Regions from separate parts of the Mus musculus genome. Here all the other regions are reported to be linked to region 4. The links are microRNA targets in miRTarBase. Many come from high-throughput screens and were not tested one by one. Region 4 holds a microRNA gene; each other region holds the end of a gene's coding sequence.
What was found. The annotated mature microRNA mmu-miR-466q reads GUGCACACACACACAUACGU and lies in region 4 at 1,292-1,311, opposite strand. An mRNA with a match to its seed (bases 2 to 7 or 8) in the 3' UTR can be bound and repressed. Matches are read on the target gene's strand: a 7mer-m8 pairs with bases 2 to 8, a 7mer-A1 pairs with bases 2 to 7 and ends in A, and an 8mer does both.

Region 1: the mRNA of Vangl2 is a reported target of mmu-miR-466q. Seed matches in the 3' UTR shown: 7mer-A1 at 2,581-2,587.
Region 2: miRTarBase lists Tmem220 as a target of mmu-miR-466q. Seed matches in the 3' UTR shown: 7mer-m8 at 3,479-3,485.
Region 3: the mRNA of Fam189a1 is a reported target of mmu-miR-466q. The part of its 3' UTR that is shown has no 7-base or 8-base seed match.

The regions. Positions count from the first base shown.
Region 1 is chr1:172,000,354-172,005,416 of GRCm38, reverse strand. It overlaps Vangl2 (VANGL planar cell polarity 2), which reads left to right. Exons shown (of 8, transcript NM_033509.4): 8 at 555-4,457. The coding sequence ends at 815. Among named protein-coding and RNA genes, the nearest start is that of Vangl2, 24 kb to the left of the region's middle.
Region 2 is chr11:67,033,472-67,038,534 of GRCm38, reverse strand. It overlaps Tmem220 (transmembrane protein 220), which reads right to left. Exons shown (of 6, transcript NM_001291042.1): 6 at 3,223-4,426. The coding sequence ends at 4,291. Adprm (ADP-ribose/CDP-alcohol diphosphatase, manganese dependent) reads left to right here. Exons shown (of 5, transcript NM_025510.3): 5 at 90-655. The coding sequence ends at 394. Among named protein-coding and RNA genes, the nearest start is that of Tmem220, 11 kb to the right of the region's middle.
Region 3 is chr7:64,754,905-64,759,967 of GRCm38, reverse strand. It overlaps Fam189a1 (family with sequence similarity 189, member A1), which reads left to right. Exons shown (of 10, transcript NM_183087.4): 10 at 555-3,872. The coding sequence ends at 871. Among named protein-coding and RNA genes, the nearest start is that of Nsmce3, 120 kb to the left of the region's middle.
Region 4 is chr3:28,416,225-28,421,298 of GRCm38, reverse strand. It overlaps Mir466q (microRNA 466q), which reads right to left and starts at 1,356; the gene lies at 1,281-1,356. All of the region lies in intron 2 of Tnik (TRAF2 and NCK interacting kinase), which reads right to left.

The DNA.
Region 1 (5,063 bases), not on the chromosome of region 4:
GGCGCTCTCGGAGCCTTCCTTGTTGAGTGGGTGATAAAGAGACTGGGAATGTAGCTCAGTGGTAGATCAGGCCTGAATTCTTGATTTCATTTACCAGCAAAACAGTGTGTGTGCACATGGATGTACACACACACACACACACACACACACACACACACACACACACACAGAGTGTTGCACTTGAAGCTTTTCTTGGCCCACTTCCCTCTTAGTGTAGGCCTACATGGTTCTAGTCATATCAACTGTATGAAAGGGAAGGAAGAAGGAAGAATGAGGTTCAAGTAGCTCTAGCCACAGCCTGGTGCAAGGAACAGGGTGAAGGATAGGGGTGAATTCCAGTCCTGACTGGAGCTGTATCACTTCTGTGCATGTCATTGTCCCCATCAATATATTAGGAGTCTCTGGCTGTCTTCTGCACTCACATTTGAAGATACCAGTTCATGGGTATAGAATGAGCTTAGAAACACCCTAGCTATCTTAGAAAGCTGTGTCACAGAGGATGAAGGGTGGGTGGGTGCACGAGATGCCCCAACAGTATCTTCTCCCTTCCTCAGGCCTTCCTGGAGCGATATTTGGCTGCTGGACCCACCATCCAGTACCACAAGGAACGTTGGCTGGCCAAACAGTGGACCTTGGTGAGCGAGGAGCCGGTGACCAATGGGCTTAAGGATGGCATCGTGTTCCTCTTGAAGCGCCAGGACTTCAGCTTGGTAGTGAGCACCAAGAAGGTGCCCTTCTTCAAACTCTCTGAGGAATTTGTGGATCCCAAGTCACATAAGTTCGTCATGCGGCTGCAGTCGGAGACCTCTGTGTGACTTTTGCAGCAGCCGCGGAGGAGGGATGTGGGGGGTTCCTGCGGAGTGGGAGGGGCTTGGTTCTCTGGCCCTGACACATTTCTGCCAGTCCTACTTCCTCTTGCTCTTGTTTGTTTTTGTTTTTTGTTTTTTGTTTTTTTTTTTACTTGAATTAACTTATCCTGTACCCAGTCTCCCCTCTTCCTCAGTTTTTCCCATCTGGAAATCTGGAGATAAATCTTGTTAACAATACCTGGGAACCACCCTGCCCTCCAATTTTGTATCACTCCAGGCCCTGCAGGAAACAGTGCCTCACAACTCTCCCATCCCCCCACCCCATTCTTCCCCCGCAAACCTTCCCTGGATGGAAGCATTCAGGGCCTTCCGGATTCTACCCTTGCCTCCTGAGCTCCAACTTAGAAATGTACATTCTTAGAGCCGCGCTCTCTAGTGGCCCCTGATAGAGTTTCTCTTGGGGGCACAGCTCTGACCCTAGAGGACCATGGTGCCAAACTCCTGTGGGACAACAGCTAATCCTATCCTCGGTCCCTACGCTTAGCCCTGAGTCCCTGGGCAAGGATGCACCTGTGACATAATCCCAGAATTAGGATTCTCTCTGCAGTCTTGCTCGCCAGTGTTACAGCTGTGCTTCCTGGTACACACACACACACACACACACACACACGGACACACACGGACACGGACACACACACACAGCACCTCACAGATACACACACTCACACACACACACACACACACACACACGGACACACACACGGACACGGACACGGACACGGACACACACACACACACACGGACACGGACACACACACGGACACACAGCACCTCACAGATACACACACACACATACACACACACACACACACACACACACAGAAACATAGAAGAAGGGGAAGTGCAGTCTTCTACTCAGGAGTCTTTACTGCTGTTTCTGACTTGTATGGTCATGTGATCATAGGCAAACAGAGGTGGAACCTCTCTGACCACTTTACCAGGGCTGTGGGGAAGGTGTAATGTGTCTTTCTTAGACAACTCCCGAGAGGAAGGGCAGGATAGACCCCTGAGGTTGGAGAGACCCTTGTCACTGACCTCACTTGTCCCTCTGAACCCACTGACCTGTTCTTCCCCACCCTTCCCCATGAAGGATACATGTTGACTTCTTAAGGACTCCATGACATGCAGACCCTGACCAACCTTGGGGTCGAAGACATTTTGTGTTTTGCGCCAGCTACCACAGTCCTGCTGAATTCGGGCTCCGAGACCTGTGGCCTCGTCTCTTATGGGGAGGGGCCAGGAACTCCTTCTCATCCCCTGCCTTAAATCCAGTTCTTTGCCTCAGGGGTCTCTTTACCATGGCCTTCCAGGGTCCCATCCTCTTTTCTCCCGCCTCGCTTTCTGGGCTCTTTATCAGGGTGAGGGACCAGGATTACTGCCTTTTGTGGGTATTAGCTCCTCGCCCCATTCTAACTAACACAGCCTTTGCAGCAAATCTGAACGAATCTCAGTAGTCACTTTGAGCAGGATTCCCTAACCCTCTAATGGATATTTTTCAGAGTAAACTTGAGCCTTTAAATTAGACACCTTTAAATTATTTTTTACCACAAGGACTAGAAATAGGGAACACCCACATCTTTCTTTCTGGGATCCATGCGGATGACTGTCCTGGTGGCTTCGATGGAGAAATGTCCCTGTGTCACTTCTTTAAATAACCCTCAAAGCCCCTGCACGGGCCCTTCACGTCCCTGGGTATTCTGCTGGTATTTGCTGTGCAAAGCACGCCCTAAGATGGGGTACCTTTGATCTCACCGTGCGGCTGCAGGATTCAAAGTGGAAGCCTACCTACCAGTTACTAAAGGGCTTGTCCATTAGGGCTTACTTTGTTCTCATGGGAATGGTCTTTGGAGCTGACTTACGCAGGGCCTCGAGGTTAGCTTAGGGCTGTGATAGAGGTGCCTGAATAAATTCCAGTGAAATTACGATGTCCTTGGGTAATGGGAAGGTATCTTTTCTTTAAAAAAAAAAAAAAAGAAAGAAAGAAAGAAGAAGAAGGAGAAGAAGAAGAAAGAAAATTCAGGTTTCAGAGGAGAACCTTTTGAGTCACGTAAATACCTCACTATCCTGGAAAGCAGGGCCCGGATGGTGATTGGGGTCATTGCCTTTGTGGGCAAGAGCGGGTTTTGCTGTTGCTTTGAGGAGTGGGTGGGTGGGGTGGGCCGAAGGAAAAGATTTGGGATCTTAGTTGATGCCCTAGGTTAGGGGCACAGGAGTGTTTATTTTAAGAACCTGCCATGTTTTTTAATCACTGTGATATTTCCATTCCTTTTATCCTAAAACAAAGAGAAGAAGTTTCCCTGACTCCCTGTCTAAGCACTAAGGGCTGTGACTTAAGAATGGTAGCGTTTTGGTCCTTCGTGTCAGAACTGTGGTATCTTCGTCTGCTTTGGTTGTTATTATTTTTTAAGATGTCAGGATGAATTGTCAAATGTATGGCTCTGTGTGTGCGAGGTGTGTGTGTGTGTGTGTGTGTGTGTGTGTGTGTGTGTGTGTGTGTCTTTTGCTTCTCCAGAATGGGAAGTTGTCTTCATGCTGTGAACTGCTATGGGTGGGCAGCTGACCCAGTCTCTCTGAGCAGTTTCCTCAACCAGCGCTGTCCCACCGGTGGCTCCGTGGTTTCTCATGCTTGCACTGCGGGCATGAGACTAGCCTGCTCAGCTCTCTCACCATAGGGGATGCTGGGCTGGGCTACTCCAGTGCACTCTGTGTGTGTGCTCCGGCTGGGTGGCATCCTGGCTCATCCCCACTACACAACTTGGCCTTTGTTTTCATGACCTCAGTGCGGGCTTACCGCTCTTCCCTCTACACCAGGACGCCGTGCCTCCACACCAGGACACCGTGCCTCCGTCCATCACCTACCTCGCCACTGTCACCCTCCCCATTGGTCCCTTTCCAGTTTCTCCTTAAATGTATGTCTTTGTTCTCTCTGTTGATCTCCCACTTCCTCTGATCCCTGCCATTACGCTCTGTGCTTTCGCTCCTAGCTGGCTGGCCACAGCATTCCCGTTGTGAATCCTGATTTAATAAAGACAAGGAGGCAGGATTCTCTTAGTCCCTGTTTGTCTGGGTCCCTGCTCTCCCTGTTGGTTGGGCCTAGCTCTGCCTTGTCCCTTCCTGGTGTCTGTCTGTCGGTCTTTTTTCTTTCCTCTCTTCTCCCCGTGGGGCAGCATCTGCTGATGGATTCTGTTCTGATTGTGTGATTGTTGTAATTTGTCCTTCTGTGCGCAAAAGGAAGGGCTTCTTGAATCTCTTCCAAGTGAGATTGTAAATGTAGAACTTTCCATTGTTGGATCTAGATTTTTTAAAATCCTTTTTCTTCTCTCTCTTTCTTTTCTTCTTTTTTATTTTCAAAATTTTTAAAACAAATTTTTGGGGCTATTTTTTTTTTGTTTGTTCCAGAGCTGAGACCTTGTGCATGCATGTAGAAAATTGTAAAATGTAAATTTTTTTTAATATATAAAAAGCTTGTTTTTACATTTGCAGTGGATTAAACATTATGGCAATTTTAGGGACTTTTTTTTCTTAAACATAGGAACTAAAACTGTACAAAAATTTTTTTTATATATAAAATAAAGACATTTGACTTTAGTGGGGGTTTTCTGTTGCTTTTCTTTTTTTCAAAGTGGGAGCTAAAGGTGGTCAGGGAGGAGTCCGGGCGGTAGGGGGCAGTGTGGGCCTTGTCATGCCACTGCCTCCAGCCAGTGTGGAGAATGAAGGGAAATGAGAAACTGCTTGCTGTTAACTGGATTCTGAGGTGAGAGAGCTGTGATGGTTAATCATCTGGGGGTGGGGCTCAGGGTGAGTGTCAGCCTGCATCTTCCTTTGTAAGCCTGTGTTTGCATGGCCTCCAGGTGAAAGTCAGACAGTGCTGACATGACGGCTCCTTATGTTTCATTTATAAAAATCCCCCGACATTACATCTGGTTTTATTTACTTTTTAAAAGATGGGGTCCTGGGGCTGGAAGGATGGCTCAGTGTTAAGAGGACTTGTGGCTCTCACAGAGGACCCCAGTTCAGTTCCCAGCACCTACATTGGCGGTGGCTCCTAACTACCTGTAACTCTGGCTCCAGGGGATCTGGTGTGGGGCCCGCTTCTGGCCTCTCGCACTTTCTCTCTCTTTATATATACATATATATGTATACGTACATATATAATATACATATCTAATGCATAATTACATACATTATATGAAA
Region 2 (5,063 bases), not on the chromosome of region 4:
GTGTTTAGGTTTGGTTTCCTGAATTCTAGCTTTTGGTCTTTTTTCTTGATGGAAAAAGATTTAATTTGCTCCTAATTTTTCCTTAACAGGCCATCTTCCTATTTACCCAGAGGCCTCTGACAGCGTGTGCCTGGCTTGGAACTACGTGGATGCTCTGTCAATCATATGGTCTCACAAGTGTGTGGTGTGTTTCCTTGCTGGTCACACACATGACGGTGGCTACTCTGAAGATCCTTTCGGCGTGCACCATGTCAACCTTGAAGGAGTTATTGAAACAGCTCCGGACAGCCAGGCCTTTGGCACAGTTCATGTCTTCCCTGACAAAATGCTGCTGAAAGGGAGAGGCAGAGTTCCAGACAGAATTATGAATTATAAAAGGGAAGAAGCTTTGTGATTTTCGCCTCATTATCTTGTCTGCTTTGTAGAAAGTGAACGATACTGTTTTATGTTTTATTACATTCCATAAAAAGTTAAATTCTCAGTTGTACTCTTAAGTATTCTGTTTGTGTACAAAATGTATTTGCACCTTGAGTATGTGTGAGTGAAGATAAAACTCAGAAGTGTTATTTCTGGATAATATATCCAGGTACTGAAAGCTAGTACTGAAAATATTAAAATAAACCAGGAAGGAGACTCATGTGGGCATATACTCCTGAGAAGGGGCTGTGTTTGGCCTAATTTGAATTTCTTTACTTTCCCTCCCTCCCTCCCTTCCCTCCCTCCCTTCCCTCCCTCCATCCCTCCGTCCTTCCCTCCCTTTCTCCTTCCTTCCCTCCCTTCCTTCCTTCCTCCCTCCCTCCCTCCCTCCCTCTCTCTCTTTCTTTCTTTCTTTCTTTTTTTTTTGTACAAGGAGAATTATTCTTGTGTTAACTCTACAGCTTAGCACATGAAAGCCCAAAGCTAAGTCAAGTCTGGCCTGCTTACCCTGCTGTATGAGTGGACGTTGGTCGTTTGTTTCAGAACACCTATACTTAGATATAGGTGACATTCCGTTCTGTGAAAACAGCTGAGAGGTCCTAACAGATGCTGAGATCATTCAGTCTTGCCTCCCACCAACCTCGAGACTCTCATGGGAAGAGCAGCAGAGCTGGCCAGTAAGCCCAACTCCAGGCTGCCTGACAGTATGCATGGACATCTCATCTGTACTGAAACAAAACCAGAAACACTGAAGGAGAAGAAAGCTTAGCCTGGCATGTTGGCTAGCTTGATCTATGTAGACCCTACCTTCAAAAGATAAAAATTATTTTATTCCATTGGTAAGATCCAAGGCAAGCGCACACTGAAAGTCAGTGTCTTCCGTGCATCTGTGAGGGTGCACAGGGTACTATGAATATTTACAGCCATACTAGTCTTGATACAGGGAATTAAAATACCGGATCTGTGTTCTGAACATGACTCATTTACACACAGACATCAAGCATGATTCAGCAGATCAGTAGGTCCCGTGTCAAATTTGCAAATGGACTGGACTCATTATGACTTTGTTCTAAAGTTAATACAAAAGCTGTAAAGACCACGCAGGCTAAAGGGACGCTGGAAAACTCAGATCCTCGGCGTGTATTTTATTGACTCGAAGTGCACTGTAGTTGTTTTAATATCAATTTTATCTTGTCCTTGATAATCTGGCTTAAGGATCCCTTTAGTATTTACAGAGTACTGTTGTCTTACATGATACAAAACAGTATCTGACTCATTTTCACTCTCGGCGTGGTGAGCATGAATTCTATTCAAAAGAAGCATTTCTTACAACTGAAATGAATCTTGCCTTAGCGACTTTTCTGTTGTTGTAACAAAAGATCATGGCCAAGGCAACTTAGAAAAGAAAGTATGTAATTCGGGATTTATGGTTCCGGAGCAGTGGTTCTCAACTTTCCTAATGCCTCTACTCTTTAATAGACTTCCTCACGTTGTAGTGACCCCCAACTATAAAATTATTTCTGTTGCTACTTCATAACTGTAATTTTGCTAGTTATAAATCTTAATGTAAATATCTGATATGCAGATGGCTCTAGGTGGCCTCTGTGAAAGGGTTGTGACCCACAGGTGCAGAACCTGCTGTTCTAGAGGGTTAAAGTCCATGGTGGCAGGAACAGCTGAGCATTCGTACCGTGTTCCAAAGTTCGAGGCAGAGAACAACACTGGGAATGGCCTGAACCTTTTGAAACCTCAAATCTCATCCCCAGCAACTACTTCCTCCAGCAAAGCCACACATTCTAACCCACCCAAGCATCACTGCCAAGCGGGGACCACGTATTCAGACATGGGCCTGAGGGGGCATTCCACGTCAACCACCACTCATCTGGTTAGAGTTTGATTCCAGCCTAGATAAGCTCCCCCTGCAGATATCTGACACTTAATGTGAGCTACTTAAATAATACTCAAGCAATCACACCTTCAAAGATAAATTCAGGGGCTGGCGAGATGGCTCAGTGGTTAAGAGCACCGACTGCTCTTCCAAAGGTCCTGAGTTCAAATCCCAGCAACCACATGGTGGCTCACAACCATCCGTAACAAGATCTGATTCCCTCTTCTGGAGTGTCTGAAGACAACTACAGTGTACTTACATATAATAAATAAATAAATCTTTTAAAAAAAAAGAAAATTAAAAAAAAGATAAATTCAATATATTTTATCTAGCCCGACTTATCTCAAAATATTTTTTCAGCATGCACTTAGTATAAAATACATTGTTCTGTGTTTGTGTCTCTAACGTCTACTGTGTTTTACACTGGAGCACATCCACCCCAACGCTAAACTCTTGCAAATGCTTCACCTGTTGCCTGTTGCTGTAAGGTATTTAATAACTAGTAGTATTAAATAACTAGTAATTACTGTGACCCTGTCAGCCCCCTAATAATCGAGACAGAGTCCAAACTATTTATTTAATCAGCTTCCAGCACAATGACTGGACGATTACCCCTAAACTATTTTTTCAGTGCTAGACTGGCTATTTCTCAGCTGCACTCCCCAGGTTACTTGCCAATCAACGGCCTATGCTCCTGGTCCATCCCATCAAAGTGAACTGCTCCCTCCTCCTCCTCCTCTTCTTTCTTCCTCCTCCTCCTCTTTCTTCCTCCTCCTCCTCTTTCTTCCTCCTCCTCCTCTTTCTTCCTCCTCCTCCTCCTCTTTCTTCCTCCTCCTCCTTCTCTCTCTCTCTCTTTCCCTCTCCCCCAGCCCTATGACAAGCCCTGCCTTCCTAGTAATTCTCCCCAGTAATTGGCTGTTAACCACTTTTATTTAACCAGTCACAAAAGATTGGCAAGCAAAGTTTACATAATATTTGCTGTACATGAAATGAGGCAATCAGATCTCAGGGGCCAGTATTTAGCATTTGAATACATAGCGCCAGACCAACACCAACAGTCCATACCAAAATTTGCAGTTGAAGAAGATCCATACACACACACACACACACACACACACACACACACACACACACACACACACACACACACACACACACACACACACGATCCCATGCACACTTAACTTTTCCTGGCAGTTGACTCCCTGCTTCTAAAAGTAGAAAAGTTAAAAATTGACTTCTTTGGTCACCCTGCCCACAGGTCAAGTGCTCTGCCCACAGGTCAAGTGCTCGATAACAACCTGTGTATGCCCTGTTGGACTGTGTCACCCTACAGAGCTCTCCTCCCCTGTGGTCACTTCAACATTCATTAAAAAGATGTATAGATTTCCATCTTAGTTTTCACGGAGAATAACTTATGATTAATATTCCCTATTCTTGCTAACTCCAAATTTATCTTTTCTATATTTTCTTTAATTTCTACTTTCATTTGGTTCACCTGCCCTGGAATTTTTCTGGGTTCAGTACAGCTGAGCCAGTTAAGTACATTAAGATTAGTTTTTGAACCTCCCTCCATGTCAGCATGAGGCTGGTTATAGCCTCAGCCCCCTCTCACTCTTACTCCCTTTGGAACTCAAGTGAGCTTCATCTTCTCAGAGTGCCTTCAACAATAGTTTGGTTGTGGTAACTAATGAGATCTGACATCCTACTTTATATGTGAGGAAATATGTACCAGGAGATTCGTGGGTTTGCCCCATCACATAGTGCTAAAGCTGGATTCAAACTCAAGTTTCTGCTCATTGCCTGGTCCAGTGCTGTTGCAGAAGAGACCTCTGGAGACTCAGCTCCCAATTCTTATCTGACCTAGTCAATCTTCCATCACATTGTGAGTAGCCTTGTTACATTCCCAAGACTTTAAATCATCTCTGGGAAATCGTCCCATTACCCCAATGTGTATAACATGTTGTAAACATTATTGGGTTCATTTAAATGACTGTCTTGCAGTGAGTTGGCCAGGAGGACCGCATCTCCTTGTTCATGTGTACGTAGACCCACGACAGGAGTGGGAGTAGGGTGATTACAACAGCAATAGCCAAGTGCATTCTTCCACCACCTGGATTCCTATAAAAATAAAAAGTATTGTAAATTGAAGTCTAAGAAAATAAATTGCTTTGGAAATATGCATAAAGTTTGAATTGGTAAAACATCACATCTTAATAGTTTCTCTTTATTGAAATTAATGTTGAATTGCATTAAATTTGTATATACTTTTATATATGTATATACTTGATATATGTTGCAAATGCCTTTTCCCACTCTGTTTTGAGGAATACTGAGTAATTAGACTGCTAAAATTGATCTTTCCCTAGTCAGTACCACCTCCTCCTTTGGGAACCCTGTAAGAAGCATTTCTCTCTGAGACAGAGTCTTGCTGTGTGGTTCTTGTTGGCCTCATGTTTGTTATGTAGCTCAGGCTGGCCTTTAACTTGTAGCAATCCTCCTGCCTCACCCCTCTGAGTGCTGGGATAAGAAGATGTAGCACCATGCCCACCTTTTCCCAGGGTCTTGAAGACACAACTGCTTTCTCTAGAGGCAGGGGGATTAAAAATACAAGACCTGCCTGGTAGAGAGCGAATTCAAGGCTAGACAGGACAACCGAGACCTTGTCTCAGATAAAATATAAAGAGATCTGGGGATGTATCTCACTGGTTGAACAAATGCCTTACCACGTACAAGGCCTACATTCTGTCTCCAGCAT
Region 3 (5,063 bases), not on the chromosome of region 4:
CCAAAGATCTCCCTAGTTCTTGGAGCCATTTAACCGGTATGTGTCCTAATTTTGAGGTAGAGTGCCATTGTGACATCAGATTGGAACCAGATTCATTACTCTAGGCCTGGACTAAAGGATATTGGGGGAGGACTGTGGATAGAGGCTGCTGTCCCCACACACATGGTGGGGGATCTCATTGCCATGCTGCCACCTCAGATGTAGTCTTAAGTCAGACTGTCTCTAGATGTTCCTACTCTACCTCTGTAAGCCACCAGACCACAAAGGATGGAGGTCATAGAGTTGGAGAAGGCTGCGAAGAGAGCTCAGGGTCCCCCACTAGTCCTTCTCATAGGCCCACCACTCATCTCACCTCACTTCAACCCTTTGAAGTCAACAGGAAATTCACGCCAGGCTGACAGGAAATTAAGTGACCCAGGGAACGGGGTCACACGCAGTGGTAGCAACTCTCCCCTGGTACACTTGTGTTTGTTTGTTTGTTTTTTTTTCCTGGAACTTCGGTTTCATTAAGTTCACGGTTGTATTCAGATTGCCTCTTTCACTTTGATTTCTAGTCTCCACATCACAGCCAGCCATGGCTGCCTGTCAGCACCAGCACTCATCCACTGGTGACCCAGATACCTGGAAAACGGGCCAAGGGACCAAGCCAGAGACCTTACAGACCGTCTCCAAAGAGCGGCCACACTCTTTAGTGGAGAGCAAGGCCTATGCAGACACCAGGGTTCTGGTGGCTAAGTTTTTGGAACACGCACACTGCAGCCTCCCTACAGAGGTGCGACATGTGGTGGGCACCATACGATCAATGGCCACCTCGGAGGAGCCCAGGGTGGAGGAGGCCATCTTTGGTGCTGGCGTCTTGGACCAGCTGTGAAGCTGCTATGGGCCTGGATGTGGACACTGATAAGCCTGCAAAGTCTGGCCCTGCAAGATGCCACCGTGCTTGGTAGAGAAAGGCCTTTGGCCTGCTGGGTCAAGAACATCCAGGATATCCAGGAAGCTCGCTGGTGGCTTGGGCAAGGAACTGTTACTCTTTCTCCCATCAGTTGTCTTCCTGGGGACTGTTTGTCGCCTGTCCCACTAACTCAGAGATGTTTCTCTCCTGCCCTTAGTGAGCTCTGGTCGCTTCAGGGGTATAGCACCTCTTGAACTGAAGAATGTGATGGGAATACCAATTCTGGGACAGGGGACACTTTTGGAACATAAAGACACTGCATCTGTCCCAAGTCAAGGCCTTTAACACTCGATGCTCCTCTGTGCCTGGTTTGGTTCAGTGTTAAGATTAGAGAGTAGCAGTGGCAATGGAGTCGTGTGGCTGGTATCACTCTGCAATGACACCTTTATCAGATTCCGACCCATTACTTCCTCTCAAAGGCAATAGGTCATGCTAGCACAGCCTGGGACCACCTTCTTGCCCACTGGGCTATCATGCAAATAAATCCACAATGAAAGCTTTCCTACATACTCTTGGGAAGCAAGCACGTGTCACAAGGGCTTGAAATGCCCACCTTCTCGTGTGTACTGGGCCTCCCCATTAGGCCTCTGTCTGTGGGCTGCTACCCACCTCCTCCCTAGGTCCCTCCCACACAGTCTCCCATCCTTGAACCACAGCAAATACTTGTTACTTGTGTTTTAACAATAAGCTCCCTTCTCTTCCCTTGGAGGACTTCCCCTTGTATCTGACCTCACCTAATTGTGCTGGGTAGGTCACAGTCTGGGCTAGGAAGCTACTGTCTGCTATATGTGCACCTCCGGCTTAGGCAAGCCTCTCTCATGACCCAGAGTTGTCCCTTCTCAACTCAGGTGGCAGCAGGCACACTTGTGTTGAAGGATGCAAATGGTCAATGCCTTATTTCGGGGAGAGTGCCAATGGTGGACATCCGGAAGCAAGGCAAACCCAGCTTAGGTATAACCAGGTGGCTTGGGGCAAAATGGCCACCTAAGACATTCTTGGCTGTTTCAGACCGCATTTTCTGGCAAGATCAACAGCAACCACTTCTCAGCAATGGGTCTGGAGCAGCACTGCTTGAAAGCACTTCCTGCAAAAGCCAGAAACGCCCACATCTGCTTCCCCCACAGCAGCAGGTATAATCAAGGGCAATCACTGCACCGCCATGGGCCTGTGAGCCTCAATATAGGCACAGAAGCCCTAAGTCTGTGGGTGGACCAGAGTGTTCCTTCCATTGTTCAGTGGCCAGCTGGTAGGCATAGGATACTCTTCTCTCCATCTTGCCTGCCCTTGCCTGTCCTTCATCCTCTACTACCCTGATTCAGCCCCCCCAAATTCCCTGTATCCACTAGGCTGAAGACCTCTGTGTGTTTGGAAGTTGTGGGACTTCAGCCCACACATGGCCTCGGAAAACCCCTAGCAGCCATCAGTTAGTTCTCCATGCCCTGATGGCTTTACCATTGCCATAAGCTGTTGCCTTTCTGAGGTTAGCAAGCTGGAAAATATAAATCGGGCATTTGACAGTAGTCTTGGCTTTTCCACAGGAGACATAATAGAGATGAATATTTGAGCACTTTATTCAGACTATAAAATTCTCTAATTTTCCCTCAAGTGAGGACTTTGAAAATCCCCCATGAGAAAATCCCTTTCAGTAGAGTGGCTTGCCCCAAGCTTCATAGCACGAAGTACTTTCACGCCTGGCTGCTGGGCTTTCTCACCACTTCAGAGATGAGGGGAAGGGAGGCAGCAAGAGGATGTCGCCTGATTGGAGGGACATGCAGCAGTGTGCTTAAACATTTGTGGATCTCAGAACAAGCCATGATCCAAGAGAAGCCAGGGCCGACCCCATTCCAACTGACCCAAGCTTGGAGGTATTTTCATAGTGTGGCCAGGGTGACCAGTTTCTGGATTCAGCACAGGGCACTGTGGCTTTCATGCTGCCTCTTTACAGATGGCCTTCAACTATCATGGGGCACTCCTGCCTCAAGTCACACCTCTTTTCGGGTGCAGACTAACACTACCACCGGGAAGCCCCGAGTCCCAGACATTCTCAAGGAAGTGGTACACACAAACTATCCTAGCTAGGTTATGAGATGGCTCCCCTAACAGGCTTATAAGATGGATAAAGAAACTACAGCACTTCATGCTATTGGGTGGGTGTTTGATGACAGATATGTCTTTGTTTACCTTCTCTGGGCCCCAGATGGACCAAGAGGGCATTAAAAATGCCCAACCTCCAGGCTTCCAGGAAGCCAGAGGTACTGGTAACAGCCACTAGACAACAGTCTTGCAATTTGACTTGTCTGTTCTGGGTTCCTTAACCCTGCCTCAGTGGTGAGCTAGTGCTAAGAACCCCAGGCAGTTATGTGGGTCCCTTGCGGAAGCAAAGCCGTCTTTCTTCACATTGCCTGCACAACCTTCCATCTTGGAAGGTCTGTCCCTGCTTGTGTTGATATCTGAACTGGGTCCAATAGTAACCATTTGGGAGGAGATGCTCTCATGCCTGGCTTGCCAGGCCCTGGGCCCCCAGAACCCCCCCCCCCCAAAATCAGTATCTTCTAGGACATCCCTTGACTCTGTTTGGGGGCAAGAAGATGCTGATGATGTGAATCCACGATGGGCAGCAACTCTACTGTGAGGAAGGCTGGAGGCTTCATGACAAGGACTTAAGTCTCCTTCCCAGGGAGACGCTGGTAGAATTTGAAACGCTTGCAGCCAGCCCTGGAGTGGAAAGCTCATTTTGGGTCTTCTCTCCCCCACCCCATGTGGCTGTGTCAGCCCACAGCTGCTGCTGAGGCAGAGTTTATAGGAAGTTGTTTCCAGACCACCAGAGACCTGTTCGTACAACTGGAAAGGTTGTATTTATTTAATGTACCTCAAGGTGTTTTAATAATGATCAGTGTTTTAATAAAAAGTATTTCTGGTCTCTGAGTTCTAACTGGGACTAAGAGGGTCCTGGAGGGGCTGGATCTGGGGGAGCAAGAAGCTGCCACAGCTACCCACGAGGAGTGGTAGCCCAGTGCCAGGAGCTGAGGTGAGAAGGCAGCTCCCGATGTTCACAGGTCCAAACCACAGCTGCCCCTCTGTGGACCCGGCACTCAAGGGGACCTGGAAGATGGTCCTGTATTCCAAAGTGTTTCACTTAAGGCTCTGAGTGATGTGCACCAGGGACTGGGTAACGTGCTTGCTTGATGGACAAGCATAAGGATCTGCGTTTGGATTAAGAGAGGGAGGGGCACACTGTAGCCCCAGTGCTGGGGTGTGCAGGGATAGGCCAACCACTTCCTGACTGGAGCAGCTGGAATAGCAAGCCCCTGGTTCTGTAAAAGACTGCCTCGACAAAATAAGATGGGGCGTGACAAAGGACCGTATATCCATGTGTGCACAAATGGTCACATGTGCCTGCACACAGGTGAAAACACATGCACACATTGTGCACACACGCTGAGTACCAGTCTGTAGACATCGTACCCTCGTATCATCTCTGACTGTGCCTCTTCTCTCTGGAGCAGGGCACGTGCTTGTCTAGAACACACAGGGGCAGTCCGTGGGCCTAGCAGCAGGCGCTAGCTCCTCTGCTGTCTTGCCTTCACCTCAGGGACTGTTCATCCCATTCTGTACGAATGCCAGCCATCTAGATACTGGTTTTTGAATCTTGGCATAGGGAAACAGTTTTCTTGGCTCTCAGTTCTTCTGTTTTTTGGGGAGTGAGGTGACAGACCTGGAGACCTTTGTGTTGCATTTCTGATGGCATTTCTCAGGCCACTGTTTGAGGCTAGAGTTCACAGTGAAAGGCTCTTTCTCGCCTGCTCCTGATGGGTAGAAAAGTGAAGGGGGCACATGGTTCAGGCCCCTCAGGCGGTTCCTGCAGAATCGTGAGCAAAGAAAACACCTGGTCATGGATATGCTTTGCTGCGGTGGGCCAAAGAGGAGACTCTCACTTGCCAAGGTCCCCTGTCTCATCCTCCAGAGACAACCCCAAGCTTACCCCATTCCCTCCTCATATCAGGCACAGCAGGCCTGTAGCAAGGTACAGAACTGCAAAGATGCCCTGCCAACACTCTACAGGTATGGATTCCAAAGGTCTGGAGAAAGGCTAGGTGTAGGCCAATATCCT
Region 4 (5,074 bases):
TTCCTACAGAAGACACTAATCTGGTTCCTAGCACCAGTATGATAGCTCAGCCCATCTGTAAATCTAGATAGACTGAGACTGACTCCCACCCACAGTCACCTAGCACACAAATGATGCACAGACATGTATGCAGGTAAAACAGCCATACACATGAAATAAAAATAAATACATCACATTAAAGGGAAAAAAGGGAGAGGAGAGAGAGAGAGAGAGAGGAGGGATGGTTGTCTCAAAAGAATTAAGACCATACTTAAACCACCCTTTACCTGTTTCCTAAGCTTATTCTGTCTTTCATTCTTTTCTGTTAATTGTATCGGGTGAGGGGCTAATGAGAGCTAGCTGTTACTAGCTGAGTGTGCTCTGCTGTCGTTTGGATGGGGTTTTCCCCATTGCAGCTCTGAGCAGAGCACCTGGTAGGCTCCTCGTCATATTTGCCCTAGCCAAGCAAGCCAGGAGCTCAAGGAAACACCTCTTAAGTGTTTCCCAGTTTGGAGGTTGCACACACATCCCATGTTTGGCTGCTATTATAGGCCAGAAGTTCCTAACACAGTTTGACTAAAATACATCCACTCTTTTCATTTGATGTAGATCTAACCTAACTTGTGCAAAAAATACTTATGCAAAGATACACAGTGATGGCAAATGAAATGCTTCTGTTGTTGTAGTTCTTCTTGTGCTCCTGCAGTACCAAATCTCGGCCACGAGCCACTTGTGAAATTCTGCCTTCTTCATTTCTAACCCTGTGAATAATGTCATTCATCCTGGAATGGAGTGATGGGTTACGGAAGGACAGATCAGCGTGACCTCTCTAGTGACTACAAGCCACTACAATTGTCCTCAGAGATGCCCGAGGTCCTCTGAGTCTCTGGAGCCCTTTTTATATATTAATACAATGACATCAAATGCTATTTTCGCTCTTGCCCCACAGTTGTACAGTGGAGTTTCCCAGAGGCTGCATGCCACAAGATGATGTCATCACTGCGGCTAATGGACATTGTGTTATGCATTAGTAATATTGTGCTTTAAAAAGTCCTTATTGTATTTAATGAAATCACATTTATTGGCACTATAATAAATGCTGGTAGACAATCCATCCAAACATACGGTTCTTGCACTCTTCAGTAGTATTAAGAATATAAAGCACACCTATAAGGCAGCTCAGAGGGTAAGGGTGCTTGCTGCCAAGCCTGACAACCTGAGATCAGTCTCTGGGCACTACTGGGTAAAGGAGAAAATTGACTCCTACGAGTTGTCCTATTATCTCCAGAGATGAGATATGGCATGCATGGGTACGTATGTGTGTGTGTGCACATATACTACACACACATACACACACACACACACACACACACACACACACTAAAGAGAAGGTAATAAGAATATAAAGGAGATTTTTAAAACTGTTTCAGGAGTAGAGGGGTCTTCCTAAGGTAGACTTTAGATAAATATGGTAGTGACTGCCTGTAATCTCAACACCCAGGATGTTAAGACAGGAGGACTGAGTTCAAGACCAGGCTAGACTAGAGACCCCTGTTTCAAGCATGGGAAGGAGTTAAAAATAAAGAATTTCACTAAATTCCTTCAGTTTTCTGCATGAAAATTTCTCAGCTCTTTTTTTTTTGCTCCACCCCACTGTTAAGCACTCTCTTGTGATATATACATTTAATACTTCAATAAAGTTTTATTTGCACCTATTGCAAACCCCACCTTACCCCCCAGATAGTAGTAAAGTCTACTAGTAGTATACCCATGTGGACTCAGCTGAGTAGAATCCAGATGCCACATTCTTCAGAAGGGTTTTCACAGCCCAGAGCAAAAAGTATCCAATTGTCTATTTTCTTCAAGGAATATACCGAGGCTTTCTGAAGCATTTATACTACCTAGTCACTTCGGATCCTACTCTGTTTCTCCAAATATGAATTTCATGTCAGCTTAAACCTAACATGGCTCTCAAACGCCAGTTTTCACCCACTACTTCCACTCATTAACATACTTGTGGTGAGCACCTAATAAAAAGAGAAATGGCAAACTCTAGTCACAAATATAAAACACAAAGCAAACTCGAGAAAAGTTTTTGTATATTTTTACAACTCGGGGAATTTTTCCTCACCCAAATCTAATTACCGGGAGCCTAGGAAGGAAAGTTCACATCATAATGTATGATGAGAAGCGTTTCCTCTAATTATACAAACATGATACAAATAGTTCTGTGCAAAGTGCTTCACTGGATAAATATTAGCATGCCATTATCATCGTTCACTGACTAATCTGGGCACTGGCACTTCTCTGCAGACTTCGTAAAAAACAAGGGAAGAGGAAACGAGGTCATGAGTGAGTCCTGCTGCACACAGGAGCACCCTATGTATCTCCATCTCAACTCTCTAATCAGATGAGAAGCATGCATGCTGCCCATGGCTTCTCGATGAAGATACTGATGCTCAGAAGAGGTCGGTACTTTGTTCAAGACTGAAAGAGAAAACTGAAGCTGGAGCCCATCCCATGCCTGTCTCTGTCTACTCTGGTGCCCGCTTTCCAGCAATCTTTTTTCTTAAGAACCCTCACCCGAGGAAGCATGTTCCAATACCAGTTGACCCAGAAATCAGAGTTGTGAAGGCTTCTTCTGGCGCTGTTTTGCAGCACTTGTGTGTTTTCAACAGGCATTCTTAGTGGACCAACAGAACAAACGATACTGCAGTTAGCAGTTGGCAGAGCACTGTGACAAATGATACACTCTTAAAAGAAATTAGAGAGCAGAATCTACAGTTAACATTGCTTTGTCTCGAGACCAGCTCCCCTGTACACCATTCTGATATGCAAAAGCCAAGCTGTGTATAATGTCCCTTGTATGTATATTTCCAGGGCTGTCCATTTGGTATTGGATAAGCAATTTCTCCTGTTCTCCGCATTTTGTAGGTCTTTGTGTAGGATGGAGGGCTTTCCACTGCCTACTTCAGCATGTCTAGTGTTGCCCTTGTTCAGCTCATGTTTAGATGTTATGGATATAGTTTCTAACTGAATAGGTTGTATTTATGTTTTTAGAGATATACCTACCTACCTACATACATACATACATTCCTAATATGTGTGTATGTGTGTAACAATAAATAATGATAAAAGAGGCGATGAGTTTGAAAGAGCACAAGGCATTGTGGGAGGGTTTGGAGGGAGGAAGGGGATAATGATGTAATTATATTATAATCTCAAAAAGAGGGTAATTTTTTTGAAATGCTTATATATATATATATATATATATATATATATATATATATATATATCCATGGGACATTCATGGGTCCAAGTCAAACTTCTGCACTCTGGGCTGTTGAGGAAGGGCAGGGTCTGCGACACCGACATGCATTTCTATGCCTAAACATAACTCCAGGTCAAATAATGGTAGGCATATCATTGTATATCTGTTATGACCAAACTGGAATTTTTGAAAAGTCTAGAAGGTGATGCATCAAAATGATGAGCCTCAAAAAATTAACTCTGGGCAGTATAATTTCCAACTACAAGATCTTTTTGTAATTGTCCTACTTGTTCCAAAATTATTAATATATAACATGGATAATTCATAAAAATGGAAATGACTGGACTCTATGTAACATATGGTTTTAATAATTTCACTGTCAGCCTGATAAGATAGCTCAGTAGATAAAGCATTTATGCATAAGGATCGGTGTGCAGACCTTCAAATCTACACAACAGCTTGGTAGGCATCGTGGCCACTTGTAATCCCAGCTCTAGAGAGGCCCAGACAGGGATTCCCAGGGCAAGCTGTCTAACTGGATTAGTGGATGGGCAAGTGTTAGATTTCATTGAGAAATGCCTCAGCAAACAGAGAACTGTCCAGGAAGATACTTCAGGTCTCCTACGCACAAAGACAAAGGTTTGTGTGTGCCAGTACACATCTACACATAGATACACACACAGAGGAAAGACAGAGGTTGTCTCAGGAGCATGGTAAACTTGATGACCCGAACAGCTGCTTGACAGATCCCTGACAACTGCAGTGACAGTAACAGTCACCTGCTCAAGCCACTCTGCACATGCTCATTGTGAACTGCCCTCTCCTTGGTAAGTATTCACAGCAGACTACTGAACAGAGTGCTTCTCACATTTTGTGTCAGCTGTCTTCTTTTAACAAGGGTCCCCCCCCCCCGATTCATTATGTATTTTAAATTTTCTAAAATATAACTACTAAATGTACTAATTTTCACATTTAAAAAAAAAGCCTAAGTCAGGTGATATGTTTTTGTAAAACCACTGCTAAGGAAGTAGAAACAGGTGGGTGAAGACATATGGTCAACTTATGACCACCACACATGTGCAAATAACTTATATGTGTGCCTGTGCCCCCCCACACACACACACATGCACAAACACATGAGTATAATTCACCACTCAATCCACCCATCCTCTATTGCTCCCTTGGAAGCTCCAAGCCGGTGCTTTTGTTCCATTTGTGTCTCCTGAGATTTGCTTAGTGAACCACCGAAGAGTTAAATGGGTACAGTTTGACATGTATAAAATGGGATGTAGACGCTGGAGAGATGCCTGGGTAACTCAAGCACTAGTTAGGCAAGTGTGAGGACCAGAACTAGGATTCCAGAACACACATAAATGCACATGGCAATCCAGCTGTCATTCCAGCCCAGGAAAGTGGAGATTCCCAGAGTAAGCTAGATAGAGTGCTCAAATCAGCGAGCTTCAGGTTTGATGCAGAGATCCTGCCTCAGTGGAACTGAGCTATGGAAGATGACCCCCAACACCAACCTCTATCATTCTCCTGCAATATACACATGCATATAGACACACATCAGTGTGCCACACACACGGACACACACACACAACACACACACACACTCTCTCTCTCTCTCTCTCTCTCTCTCTCTCACACACACACACACACACACACACACACACATACACACACACACACACACACCAGACAAAGGAAACACTGACACAAAAAGTTATTAGCTGATAAAAAGACCCAGAATCCCCAGCCTTGCTCAGCTCCAGAAGCCTCATGTATTCCTCTTCCCATCCCCCACTCAAGAAAAGACTCCTG